2 linked regions of the Oreochromis niloticus genome follow. The main gene of each other region encodes a partner of the protein of the gene in region 2 in a complex. Links are inferred from orthologs where the notes say so. Each region holds a gene or a part of one and is shown on either strand. Other genes may lie near its edges. The genes, in order: bcl10 and malt1.

Evidence for each region.
Region 1: the proteins of malt1 (region 2) and bcl10 are in contact, whole or in part, in a cryo-EM structure (PDB 6GK2), measured with the Homo sapiens proteins. The link is inferred for Oreochromis niloticus from reciprocal best matches to the Homo sapiens genes MALT1 and BCL10. Residues at the interface, in NP_006776.1 of Homo sapiens: Asp46, Gln47, Ala48, Pro49, Trp54, Arg55, Leu74, Glu75, Ser78, Leu79, Val81, Leu82, Glu83, Pro84, Glu85, Gly86, Pro88; in NP_003912.1 of Homo sapiens: Leu13, Lys17, Val83, Arg87, Asn93, Gln97, Thr100, Leu104, Arg107, Asn108, Leu111.

Annotation. Positions count from the first base shown.
Region 1 is NC_031982.2:20,184,474-20,191,846, forward strand, and holds bcl10 (B-cell lymphoma/leukemia 10), read right to left. Parts: upstream 3,015-7,373; 5' UTR 2,567-3,014; coding exon 2,516-2,566; intron 2,114-2,515; coding exon 1,825-2,113; intron 1,698-1,824; coding exon 1,294-1,697; 3' UTR 488-1,293; downstream 1-487. UniProt on the Homo sapiens protein: Plays a key role in both adaptive and innate immune signaling by bridging CARD domain-containing proteins to immune activation.
Region 2 is NC_031977.2:28,480,463-28,487,703, reverse strand, and holds the start of malt1 (mucosa-associated lymphoid tissue lymphoma translocation protein 1), read right to left. Parts: upstream 3,029-7,241; 5' UTR 2,848-3,028; coding exon 2,699-2,847; intron 1,762-2,698; coding exon 1,595-1,761; intron 1,250-1,594; coding exon 1,128-1,249; intron 1-1,127. UniProt on the Homo sapiens protein: Protease that enhances BCL10-induced activation: acts via formation of CBM complexes that channel adaptive and innate immune signaling downstream of CARD domain-containing proteins (CARD9, CARD11 and CARD14) to activate NF-kappa-B and MAP kinase p38 pathways which stimulate expression of genes encoding pro-inflammatory cytokines and chemokines.

The sequences.
Region 1 (7,373 bases), on a different chromosome or scaffold from region 2:
TAGCTGCTTATATTGGATGTTATTATATAATTATATATATTTTTAAATCAGATGCTAACTACATGTGTTAAACTTCATTCTACATATAATTATGATAATAAATTAAATACCTGTTAGCGTTCGCCGAGCACCAGCGACCCAAAGTTCACCCAGTCTAACACTCAGGGCTTCTCAGCGGTGTATGAAAAAACAGGTGGTACAGTCACCACTGCAGCCGTCACCACAATGACTGTCATTCCTCGGCGCCACTTGTAGCTTTTCCAGTTTTTTCCAGAAGTAGAAAAAAAGGTACGTCTGCGCACCCAGAAGCTAACGACACATTTACACGTTGTAGGCCTGTCAATCACTTCATTTTGACCTCGACAGTTAATGCCCTATTTCAACAACAATTATCGGCACTCTAACACTTTGATTTTTCATAATCGCTACAGGAACCACACAACCACACGGTGAAAAAAGGAAAAAAGAAACAAAAGCCCAGTCCATATATGAAAAACTTTTAGTTTTATTATTACATGACCAGTGAATAGAGAAAGAAATAGGATGTCACTGAAACTATGTTTACTAATTCAAGACTATTGTAGTGACAAAAACATGAAGCAAATTCTTGATGACTTAATGCACACACACAAAAAACAAACAACAGAAAAACATGAGCTGGAGTTCTGCTCCAAGACTGGCTCTTTATACGCACACACATGGATATATATATATATATATGTATGTATATATTCTCAAGTAGTCGTTCAAGTGTATACAACATAGAAACTGCATTCAGCCTTTACAGCTCATCAGAAAAATCACACCTCCTGTCACAGAAGGGGAGTAGGAGAGGTTAGAGAGGGTGAGTCACATTTTCTTCACTCCTGACACATCACGTTGGAAATCTAACCGCGTTAGAAATGCATCTGATGCACGCGCAGATTTCCTCTTTCTTCTTTGATGGCACCTTTGTCTCATTTTAGTCATATTTTCCATTTTAAACTAGGCAATCTCCATACCCTAGGGTTTGGTTTGGTTTTTGCTTTATATGAAAACTAAGGCAACAAATTGCCACCATTTGAAAAACAAAAAAAACAATCTTTAAAAGTTATCCCAGCCTCACTGATGACAAAATGCCCCCATTTTCACTCTAAAAGGTAGCTAATATAGTGGTAGTATACAGTATATGCCCATGTGCAGCAATTTCTCACCAACCGCCTCATTGAAGGCACGAATAACACCGAAAAAGAGAGAGAGAGTGTTGTGGTTGTCTTTTTAACCGGTTGAGAACTGTCTTATTGAGATATGCTCCTAAAAGATACTCCTAGTTGAAGTTGGTGTGAGGGAGCGCGACCGGAGGGGCTGGAAGTTTGGATCGCCTCCGCTGGTGCACCCTGGCGCTCCAGCATCTATGCTGGAGGGGGACTCGACCATTACCTCGTCCGGCAGAGGAGGCGCCCCGGGGTCTCCGGGCTTCGGGAGGCTGGATGAAGTCGTGGAAGGTGTGGCGATGCTGGCGCAAGCCACAGAGGAGTCTCCAGCTTTTTGCGAAGACAGCAGATCGAGTGAGGTGCCCACATCTGAGTTGGAAGGGCTTTTCTCGCTGTCCGGGTGAAAGAGCAAGGTGGAGTTGTTTGAAAATGTTAACGGGAGGTCGCTGGTTGAGGTTGGAGTGCTGAAAGTGGAGTCAGATGAGGAACTGGAAGCTCCTGCCGCTGAGTAATAGAAGAGGGGGGAAAAAAGGGGAACAGTTGTAAGTCATAAAGAACAACCGCATTAAGCACTTTTTTGCATTACACACACACACACACACACAACTATTTTAGAAATTGACGTATTAACCTCTGAGGGACTCGATCTTCTCATTTTTGGCCTTCTGCACCTCGTCTGTGATTTTAGTGATGATAAAATTTTGCGAGCGCATCTCCCGGATCGACTCGATCAAGGCATCCAGGCCGCGGGGGTTCTCAGCCAGTATGTCCAGCAGCACGGCCGTTCTCTTGGTCTGCGTAGTCCTGCAGCTGATCTCTTCTGCGTCGTCTCGCGTCAGGATCCTGCGAGAGCGCAGGTAGTCCAGGTGGCGATCTGCTCTGATTTTATCGCAGAGGTAGTGCCGCAATCTGGTCAGCACCTGAAGAGCCACAGGAAGTCATTGAGGGTGGACAAAAAGAGGGCAAAGTGAGGTGTCAATGAACAGGAAACACACAGTCCAGGGTTCATCCCCCTTCCCCCATATCAAAGACTACAGCAGGCCTGGATCTGCTCTCTCTGTGGCACATACAAAGTAAGCTGGGTGTCCAGATGTGCCCTAAACGTCCATCCTATTGTCCTGCTGTTAAATCCTACAGAAAGTGGAAATGGTGAGGGCACAAAGAGGGTGTGGTGGGGGCATTTCCTCCTTTTAATAGGCCTATAGCGCTAAGCAAAGCATAAATATATATTTAGCAGTAAATCTATTTGCACATGGCTCCCCTTATCAGATTGATCTGCCATCTATTAGGAAGCCAGGGCGTGCCTGAAGTATAATACTCACGTCTTTCTTTATCTCTGCCATTTCATCTTCAGTGAGGTGAGGAGCATCCATCCCTCTCCCCCGCAAAGTGAAAATCCAGGTGGTAACGATTGAAAATTATCTTAATAATCTCGTAGTGGTGGATTAAAACACAACAGCGAATAAATTATAGAAGTTAAATAAGCTGACACCTTATTATTAATCGATAAAAGGTGGTCTATCGACTATCCATTCAACTTTTTTTTGTTTCAACAACGGAAAAAAAAAAAATCCCCGGACTTCCTGATTGTGTCGAGGCTTAACTACGTCAACACACGGCAGAGACGTCAGTTTCCCACTCAGAGCTGGTTTAAACCGGTAACTGTGAATAAAAAAGTCCACGTTCACTTTAAGGTTTCTCCTGTTTTACCAGAACAACTCCAAACTGAGCAACTTTCTTCGCTTTGAGTTCTGCTGTGCGACTTCTTGCGCTTCTGCACTTCCGACCATGGCCACGCGCGGCTCTCGATAACTCCACTAGGTGGCGCTGTTGGACCTTCTCGCATACAAACACCACGTTTGGCAGGTTTTGCTATGCCCCGCAGTTTAGTCTATGACAGCATTCATTCAAAGAAAAGTAAGTGTTATAGGCCAGTGATGTCAAACATGTGGTCCAGGGCACAGAAGTGGCCCTCTTAAAAGCTCCCATACCGGACAGCTCTGTAAAGTGTCAAAACTGCAGTGAAGTTAGTGGGGATGAAAACATCTATAGTTTAAAGTATTATTAGATCTAAACTAGTTGTTTGAATCAGAAAGATTTAAAATAAATCACTATGGCCAGGTGTCCTCCCACTGTGATCTGTAAACTTTAATATAAAGATAATATTGATGAATGGGGAAAAACTGAGACATAGTTTTAAAATTGCAGTTATTTTTCTTTAGTGATCTCAGGGTTGCTTATTAAATGAGAAAAGAAAAATAATGGGAAATGTTACCACTTGTAATGGGTTTCAAAGAAGCAGGAGGGATAAGAGCTTTTTACTTTACTAGTTTACTCCATTTGTGGGCAATTAACTGAGCTGAGTTTGGCACCCCTGCTGTACTGTGTGGCTACTGCACAAGAGATTTCTGTAATTTACAAAGTAACTTAAGTACAGAGCGATTCTCAGCTAATTTCAATTTAGAATTATAACTTTTTCTTTTTTGTTGCTGATTTATTGCAATGACGCAAGTCTGAGGTGAAATGTAAGCTTTTTTAATGTGATGCAGGGCTTTTCAGTTGCTTCACAAAAACGCCTGTGCTTTACGATCTGTTTGCATGTTTTGTATGTGGAGTCACAATCTGCAAAGTAGCTGTCACCATCAGATAAATTTTCCTTGTGAAAAACAGCGTAGAAGTTAAATAGTGTTAGAAAATTCAGGCGCCTTAAACTTGAGTAAATTAAACATTTGAGGTTTGCCTGCCAGTTTCTTATGTGCACCTAAGACTAATTCGGTCTGAACAAGCTCAACAGCACCACAAACTAAACTATCTGAAACAGCGTCTGCAAAAATAATGATAATAATAAGGTTATTACTACTACACAAACAACTAAGGGTTTAATAAGTTAGTTGGCTGTGATGGAGCTGATTTTATGTAAACTGTTGATTTGCTGGTCTTGTTTGGAAAATCTGCACAGAAACTCGGAAAATCAGAGTTGTACATCAAGTAAATATATTTCTGTTACTGTCAGTCATGCAGCTGGACACATTTTAAAGTGTAGTACTGAGCTTTGAAATGCGATGATCACAATGTAAATTGTCAGCAGGCAGAGTCTGTATCATAGATTAGGTCACAGAACAGTTTATATACAAATAAAACTGAAGGGTCATAGCATTAAAATCATCAGCAGTTCAGAGACAACACGGGGTCAAAGTTCACATATACAAAGTGAAGTGCTGCGCAGTAGAAGTGATCAGACACTTTGGTAAACATGAAGTCTATTACACAATGGCTGAATGCATACAGATTTTCACTTCCCCCTAATCACAGTATAGCACAAAGAGAGGAGGGGCGCTCCCCGAGGAGATTGTTATCAGGCTTGTTTTGTCATGCTCTGCAGTGTAGTACTGTATGTGCTGTGTGAAAAGACCATTAGCAAGCAGAAATGTATATGAACTGTAAATCAGATCGCAGGACTCACGCAGCGATAATGATTTAAAGCCCCCTCACAGCTGTCTGGCTGCTGTTTCATCGCAGCAGGAAAATGTCAGATGTTAAACAAAAATGGGGAATGAGCGTTAACAGAAACAGACAATGCGTGCCCACTTCTCCTCACCACAATTCCCTTCATTCATGCTGGACAGCAGAGCTCAGCAGCCTGGAAATAACCAGCTGTGCGTTTCAAATGAACCCAGTGTGCTGACTCCCGAGTGCCCTTCGCGCAGAGCCAGACACAAAAGAAAAGAAGGCATTTATAGAAATGATGTCACCAACGGGACTATCATTCATATCAGCACAAAACCCACTCTCACGTAACAGCCAAGACACCACCGTGACCTCGCATCCACTGTGATTTTACAATATGCGTAAGTGAGGAGGTATTTGCGCTTTTCAGTCGAAGTACCATGCAAAATGACTTCTTTTATAGCTTTTTTTTCATACAGCCTATTATAACCTGCCCACCCACCTTACCCATTCGGGTGTATCCCATTAAGTATCAGGGATATGTAATTTTAACAGGGCGCTGCAGAGTACTGTGCAATGCACGTCCACCCATGGCTTGTATCAAGTATCTGTGGGAGGATAAAAGGTCTCTCTAACACAATAACTTTCAAGTAATTACATGTCGCTCTCATTAAGTAAATTGCAAGATATGAGAAAATGCACGCTTTATATACGCCTCTTTGCAAGAGGCGTATATAAAGCCCTCTTTAGTTTCACATCTGTCTGCTCTTGTCACCAGGTTAGAGACCCACTGGGTTCATATTCATTAAGCATCTCAGATATATATTTAGGGCTGTTAATGACATATAAACAATAACCAATAGTTTGAAATCTGTACCTTACTGGAAGTCAGTGCAGGGAGCTGAGAATCAGAGCACTCTGAATTATCTGTGACCGTCTAACAGTCTTTTTAGGGAGGACAATAAAAGGAGCATCGCATTAGGCAGCCCTGCAAGACATAAAGACATGAATAAGCTTCTCTGGATCTTGTAAAATGTAGTAAAAAGCCCAGGATGTTCCTTGAATTTGATCTTTCATTGAACTTTCTAACACGATTTTCTTCACATTTTCTTATTTATAATTTGTCTACTTTTAGTCTACTGATTTTATAAGGTCAGTGTTTTATTTTATCGATTGTTGTTTTTGCACATGATGTGAAAATGTGAGGTAGAGCAGAGGTTTCACTTACAGTGATCAGTTCAGCTTGTAATACGGCGTGGCACTTTTTATTATTTCTTTTTGAAAATATAAACTTTCAGTGGCTTCCAGAAACATTCATATCTAAAGTAGTATCATTCTGCTTTCTATATGCACTGAGTTGCTGCCATATTAGATTTTCAGCATCGCTGATATCTGCTCCAAAAAGTGATGACTACTCCTTTAAGCCAGGGATGTCAAACTCATTTTAACTCATCGAGGAGCAGATGCAGCCAGCTTTGATCTTAAATGGGCCAGTCTCAGTGTATAGAAGCTTAATTTCCAATTAGAAAAGACCAGTTACTTTGGTGTAGCGTGAATGACCACGGCTGCAAAAATGAAGCTTATGAAAACACAGTTAAAAGTCTAAGATTCAAGCCTTCCTTCATTTTTTCTAAAGCTGTCCAGTGGGCTGGACTGGAGTCTCCGTGAGGCCAATTTTGGCCCCTGGGCCTAGTGTTTGACACCCTGGCTTTAAACTGTTGGGGTAACAGTGTTTTAGGATGTTAAGAAAGAGGAAAGATTCAATTTCTCACTTGTTTTATTTCACATTCATTTTCTGAACTGTGGGAAGAGGACATGCAATTTGCCCTCCACATCCGCCTCCGTTCTTCTTACCTAACATGTTTGTACAGATTCTTGATATTATAATTTTGGAAGGAAATTTCCACACCAAGCCACAACAGTCAGCGATTTCCAGGCATCGGTAAACACACCAAGCTCCCGCTTGTTCGCTCTTCATCTGCTGGAGCTGGCGCTGACTCAGACCGGCCTTTGTAACCTTAGTTAGATAAGACAGAAGCGGTGCCAATCTGCTCTGCTCGGCCTCTTATTCTCACAGGTTATAATGAAAGGAAAGGTATTCTCTCCCTTATAAATGCCTTTGTTCTTTGATGTGGATGGAAGAAGATGCTTTTTATCCTGGCATCTATTTCAAAGAAGCCTGCAGTGCTCATCCTGAGAGGAATTTTGCTTCAGGCATTGCTTGGGTTTTCTTTTTATTCTTTTTTTTTTTGTCTAGTATCTCATTCTGACTGCTCTGATTTAGACTAAACAGAGGATTACCAAGTTTCAAACGTTTCCAGGAGGCTCTCGTCTCTCATTATGAAAACTTAAAGTCAAACTCAAATCCATCCACACGCCCTTACAGGATGACTGAAGGGAAATTTAATCTGTAACACTAGCAAGGCTGGAAAATACAAACACTATTCGCAGACAACGTGCAACAGTCTAAACAGAGCTTCAGCTCAGGGAGAAATTCAGTCAGTCATAGAAATATGTGGCTTTCCTTCAATATTTATGTCAGAACTTGCAGTGGCCTGGTGTTAAATCCCTTAAGGAGCCATGTTCACATGCATTTCAGCTGCCAGGTATACATATATATATGGTCCAGCACCAGCTGGTAAAGTCTTGGTTAGGAGCAAAAGAGCTCCTTCATAACAGTGATAGAGACTGAATAGTGCAATCATTGTCTCACAAAACAGAATAAAATCAGTT
Region 2 (7,241 bases):
GAGGCTGACAAACAGCCTCCTTATAATAATTAAAAACACAAAAAACAACACTAACTCTAATTAAATTTAAACATTAACTACACAACGCAAAACTAAACTGAAATGAGAAAAAAACCACTCTGTAAACTGAGTGAAAATAAACTAAAACAAAAACTCATTAGAAAAGATCAAAGCTATGGGTAGAAACTCAGATATGAACTAGTAATAATACGACAGCATCTGAATGCGCAGTCTTTTTCTATGATCGAGCACCCACGTCACACTTCCGAAAAAAGTTACATCTAGCAAGTCAGAACGAGTAACACTTATGTATCCTTTCAGCATGGCGTCACAAGACTGAACGCATGCTGACGCGGACACATGCAGACATTTGCAACTGTGCACTTTTATGAATTGCTCAGCTCACTAAAAAACATCACTGTGCTATAGGAAGAGATTCAGTTAAGTTTCTTAACCACTTATTTAGGATCACCCATTAACTACGATGAACCAACAGTGCCATTTACTGCACCGATGATATGGTAATCATGTGTTCTCACTATTGGAAATACTCTGTTTGTTTTATGGGAAAGTCCTGACTGAGAAGAGAATGCAACAGCAGGACTCAGTAGTGATGAATTTACCGGATCATGCAGGTGGACTTTGTACTAGGAAGTTGTCGGTTTAAATACCATTTAATGTCTGATCAGACCATGTTGGACATTTTTTTGTTTGTTTGTTTGCTTTTTGCTTTGCTTTGCTTTGTTGGACATTTTTGATCTCACATGCATTTCAGTTGTGTAATTTTTAGTAAAGTTAGTAAAGTTATGGCTGCAGTGAATGTGTAAAAAACGCTAAAGAGGTTTTAACGCAAGAACTTTAATTTAAAGTCAGAAAAAAATCAGCCCATTGTTCCTTCAGTGGGCTGGTTTCAGTCATTATGCAAATGTACTGTTTATAAGGTTTGGGGAAACCTGCAGTCAGCTGAGACTGAAGAAGTCACTTGGATGAGTGACGAAACGTTTCTCCCACAAAACGCTACGTCCAGATGAACAGATTCAACTTTTGGAGATTTACTTTCCTGGATGATTGAGAATGCATCAAGACAAAAAAAAATCAGTGTGTGTGAGTGTGTCAGAGGAACTCACCTCTTCCTTAGATTTGAACCACTGGTACTGTACTGGAGACTTGCCCACAGCGTGGCAGCTGAGCCGCAGATTGTGGCCACATATAATGGATACGGACTGGGGCTGAATGAGGATCTGGAGGGCTGCACATGTACAGGATATTTACTGTGAATTTACACTGAGTTTAGATGGACTGTATACAGCAGAACTTTGTGGTGCTTCTCTTTAAGGTTTAACTTTAATTGCCAAGCTAGCAATGGTACAGATGAGTGGTAATAGCATAATAAAACATTCCCTCTTGAAACCTACATTATATGAACCCTGATTACTGCTGCACTGACTTAAAACTGCACTGACAATGACCTATAAGTTTCATCCAAACAGCACAATGAGCTGTGAGCTTCAGATGAGAAATAAATAGAATGCAGAAAGTGAAGATCAACCTGCATGATTGACAACATAGCGGCATCAATGTGGTTTTACTCTACCTGGCGGTTTCAGGCACTGCAGAGCCTCTGAGTTGCCTAAAGTTTGAAGGTAGTCCATCAGATGGCCCGTGGTGCAGCCTCGCTCTCCCATCAGCCTCAGCAGCATGAGACTCGGGCTTCCCTCCAGCTCCAGCACCTTCAGAGAGCACATCTCCATGTCATCCGAGCTGGAAAGGATGTAGGTGACTGTCAGCATTTCATATTTTAAATCATATTACAGTAAAACTCATCTTTACCGTTTTCACACACGAAAACTCAGGTCATGAGAAACTGTTAGACAAAGATAAGGGAATAAATTTACACAAGTTTAAAAGAAAAACAAATGAATGCTAATCTTTACACCATCTGCACCGCTTAGTGCACAATCAGTGAAACACTTTATCTAGTGACTTTATTAGTGTCATACTCTATTTACCTGAACTCTTTCTTTTGTGCAATTTTACACTTGTCTAAACTTATTAAGTTTGTACTTATTTGATTGAGCTACATTGTTTTTTAAGTTTTGGCTGCTGTTTTGGTATAAATAATGCATATTTGATCTTATGAGCAGACTGCACTGTACCGGGAATATATGTACTCAAACACACGGTGTAATAGTGATATTAGGCAGGTGTGATATCATATGTTACAGCCGTACAGTAACAGCTAGGATTAAAAAAAAATCAGAGGCAAACATTTGTCATCACCATTATTTGTTAATGAAACTGCATATAAATAATGATTGGACCCTACATTTTTGATTGATAGTTTCATTAACTAGCATTAACCTGGAAGATGCTGTAATGAAAAACAAATAGTTGTCCAATTTAATCTCTCAAAGGGGGTCTCTTGATTTATTAACTTGGAGTTACATATTTATCTATGCCAGAAAATATACAGGTTAATTGTGCATTACTGTATTACATACTCTATACCTTTATTTTTTAATATAAAGACACAACATAAAATTCACAATAACCAATAAACTGAACAGTGTAACTATAATGAAAGTTAATCGCGTTAGTCCCCATTAGCTTTAATAAATAAACCGGTGGTTGAGAGTATGCATGCAATGATTTCTGGTCATTTACTAAATACTAGTACTAATAGCAATTTTTAACCCACCTGACTTTAAACCGTCTATCATTGCCAACAATCTCTCCAAGTTTTCGCCATCCTTTAGTGCTGGATTTGTCCAGCACCTCACACAGCCTCTTCACAACCGGCTCCTTCAACGAGTTGACCTTCGTGGACCGTTCCAAAGAGTCCGACATGACAGTTCCTCAACCAAAGCTCACCATCAACGTGTTTCTATCGCACGCAAAAGCAAAGTTATGGCACGAAAAAAAAATGTCTACTTCCTGAAAGAAATGATAAAAATGACTGACACGCCTACAGCGTCGTCTTGGTTTTTCCCCGTGGTGCAGCTCAGTTGTGGTTTCCTTCTGCCAAAGACCACTTATGCGTAAAGATGAATCTCTGCATGTAGGCTTGTGAGGCGAGAGGCGAAAAGAAACAACCCCAACTCTGGCCTGTTTTCGGAGTTTACCTCCTTTTATTAATTCCACGCAATTAAGATAAACCAAGTAACTTACTCAAAAATCTACCTGTGTGATATCTCATTTTCTATTCGTAATTTTGTTTGGCGTTAATCGAAAGAGGATACCCTACTAGCTAGCTCTGTGCAACTGCCAAAGAGAGTGTAGCTGCTGTCTACTCGCCATTTGACAATGAATGAACGATTAACTGAGCCCGCAATCAACACCATTATTTGGTATTTGTTCAGTGGATTTTAATACGTCAGAGGTTTCTTTAATGTAAACGCTGCTAAAACTAGCTAGTATATACCAAATAACCCGTATTTATTAAGGTTAATCTATATATTCTTTTCTTTTCACATGCAACATCCATCCTTAAACGAGTGCCCAGGCATAGAATCACAAACCAAGTGGCACAGAAAGTTGAGGCGAGGCGACTCATCTCGCTCAATTTGCACTCTTTGGCTGTACTCAGCCGCTCAGGTGGGAGCCGGTGACCTCCTCATAGTGGCGGAGCTAGAAAGTTTTCTATAGGTTATTGGTTGGCCCAGAAAATGAACAGGTTTTTTTAAGGATCAATCCTGTTTTCATTTATGTAGGTATAACTTCCTGGAAAGATACCTTGAGGACTCAAACAGTTTTTACCCAGCACTGACATTGTCAAGTCAAAACTGTTTGCAATATAATGTACACAAAACTTTTATTTCATCTACATGTCACAAAAAAATTGATTCTGTTAATCTAGACGTAATGTTTTCAGTGGGGGAAACATTCACTCATCCAAGTAACCATTTAAGTCTCAGCTGACTGCAGGGTTCCCCCACCTTATAAACTAAACTGACTAACTCTAACCCGCAGTCAGCACTGGGTTTGTGGGTTGACCAAAGGAGTGGCTTGACACCCCTTGTCTCCTTACAGAATCTCAGAGTTTTTCTTCCACATATTCATATGGAGACTGGCTCTCTGTAAATCCTGTTTTGTAATGCTGGCAACTCCACTTTCTAGGTGAAAAGGTTGTCTTAAGTAATGCCATGACTAAGTAGGATAATTTTCCCTGTTTGTAATCAGGGTCACTCTTTTTTTCTGCTTTTACATGCTTTTTTTGTCCTTGCTGCTCTTTCCCTAAGTTTTTCAGAGCAGACCATATATAATGGCTTTGTTTAAAGGCACTTTTTGTAATTGCCCCCTGCAAAATGTAAGAAAACAATTCACCACAAGGTGGCACTGTTTTACCACTAGAAGCGTATCTTTTCAGGCGTGTGCTGCTGTTCAGTCAGCCCAGTCCCATAATAAAACACGAAACCTAACTAAACCAAGCTGTCTAAACTTAAGCATGAAAGGATGTTTTTCATTAATAATATTTTTTAAAGTGATGATGCATGAAAAAATTTGAGATATACAATAGATTCGGTATATAGGAGAATGGATGAATGAAAAGTAGTGTTCAAATATAATACTGGGAAATTCATGTTGAGGAACACACAAAAGAAAAAAGTTAATGTACAGAAACACAAACTAATAAAATGATAGTTGTGACTATATTTCACAAACTGCAATGAGACTGCATGGTGCTGTTAGTGTACTCCTACCGCCAGTCCCAAACCTGGACTTATTTCCTCACATACTTTTGATATTTTTAGTTATTTTTTGATATCTTTAAACTTGTCACAGTCCTGGTTCGGTGACCCAGTGTTTTGTATTATTATAATTCTTTGATTTCATCACGGTTTATCATTACTAGTCTTTTGGTCTATGGTTCTGTATTTCTAGCTCTCTAGTTCTTCTTCGTTTTCTGATTTCTAGTTCTTGGGTTTTGTTCCTGTGCCCCTCACATTTAGTGTAGGTTTAGTTCTGACTTCACGTTTATTTTCTCATTCCCCAGTCAGTCGTGTCTCAAGTCCATGCCTCTGTGCCTGTCGTGTGTTTCCTGTTTTATTTTGATAGTCCCTGTCCTGTGTGCAGTGTGTCTGGTTTAGCTTCCCCTTGTCTCGTTAGGTCTGGATTTGCAAATGCCATCTGGAACCATGATGGTAATAACAACATAAACTCACCTTTATTTAACGTCCCCAAACAAACAGGTTCTTTTTATTGTTTATGGCTATATAAGTAAGTAACGTGTTTCATATAAAATGTGAACATGAATTAAACAGAAACTAAATGTGTGTCACTGTTAACTGAACCACCGGGCCAGATGGGCTAAGCACTGCCTGGATAGACAGGCGTGTGGAAAACTACTGGAGAGCTTCTCTGCTGAACGCAAATTTTTGTTGCTGTGGAAGTTATCCTGCAAACATGTAATGCTTCGCCCAGCCTTCGGGCAAATTACAAGTAGTCACACTTGAAACCTGTAATTTTACCACATTTGTTTTAAACAATCAGCCCTTTTTAATAAAGCATTTTATTCCTATTGAGCAATCATGTGAGAAGATTTCTCCTATCTTAAAATCAGTCTGAGTAATTTCCAGCCACACTTACCAGTTTCAAATAAACACAGCCAAAGAGTTGACTGAGAGAGTCCAAATGTAACAGTAGAGAAAATGCTGAACACTGAATCATTGTGGATATAATTAGGCTTTTTTTGGCCAGCTATTAACTGTGATTCTTAATGACTCATCTAAAATCAAATGCCTAAAACTGTATCACATGACAAATACTACAACCCCACTTCCAAAAGAGTTGGGACGCTGTATTCAGTGTAATTAAAAACAGATTACAATGATTTATTTATTTTATTTGCAGTAGAACAGAAAACATATAAAATGTTTAAGCTGAGAAAATGCACTATTTAAAGCAATATGCTAACTCATTTTGAATTTGATGGCAGCAACATTTCTCCCAAAAAATTGGTGCAGAGCCATGTTTACCACTGCGTAGCATCACCTCGTCTTTTTACAGCAGCCCATAAATGTCTGAGACCAGCTGCTGGACTGTGGGAGAAGAATGTTGTCCCATTCTCGTCTGTTACAAGAGTCTAGCTGCTCTTTCATGATGCACTGAATGTTTTCATTGGTGAAAGGCTTGGACTGCTAGCAGGTCAGTTCAACACCCAGACATAGATGCAGTTCGACAGGCTGAAATACCCACGCCCTTCCCTGAAAAATACATAGTCTGGATGGGAGTATATGATGCTTTGAGCGTTGATGGTGCATTTCTAAATGTTTCCAGTTCCATAGGCACTAATGCACCCTCATGCCATCAGAGATCATCTGGATCATGTTCACCTACAGCTCCTTTCTTACATGACAGAGTTTTAACTGGTATTTGTGGATGTACAGTGAAGTGTGTTCACAGACAGTGATTTGTGGAAGTGATCCTGAACCCATGCCGTGATGACCAAAACTTGCAGACAACCAGTATTGATATTCAGTCTTATTTCTTGCGCAAAGGGATTTCAGAATCCCTTGATGATTATGTACTGTAGATGATGGGATATTCAAAGTCTTTCCAATTTTACGTTGACGAACATTATTCTGAAATTATTCCACAATTTGTGGACAGTTTTTTGTAAAATGGTGTCCCCTCTGCCCATCTTTACTTTGGAAGCTCTGTCTGTGCTTTTTTTTGATGCCCATGCATGTTACTCACCTGTTGCCAATTAACCTAATTAGTTGCAGATGTTCCTCCCACTGTTTTCTTTCTAGAATCAATTACTTTTCTAGTATTTTCCCCCATCTGAACATTTTTTAAATGTGTTAGTGCTATTATGATGCTATTAATGGAAGGAGGCTTAAAGGAGCTTATATTTTCATGAAAAAATTGAGTTTAATTTTTCACTTTAAATGATTTATATTTGAATTGGGATTTGATTGGGATTTTTTTAGGCCAATTAATTAAAGTAAATGTCCACATCACAGAAAAAAATCTCTAAACTAATGACTAGCATACATTCAGGGACTGCCTTCTTGAGCTTGGCCAGTAATGTGAAAATACTGAATGACTGAGAGAGAGCCTGAAAGAAACAACGTGAAACTTGTGCACACTCTCTGATCAGGTTTCACGTCATTTGTTTGTTAGCATGGAGCTGCTTACGTGAACTCCAGAAAACCTTTGTGGACATGGCAATCTCCTGTCTGTCCTTGACCAATGCCCCTAAAAAATAACAACACTGATGATGGTGGACAAAGAGGAAC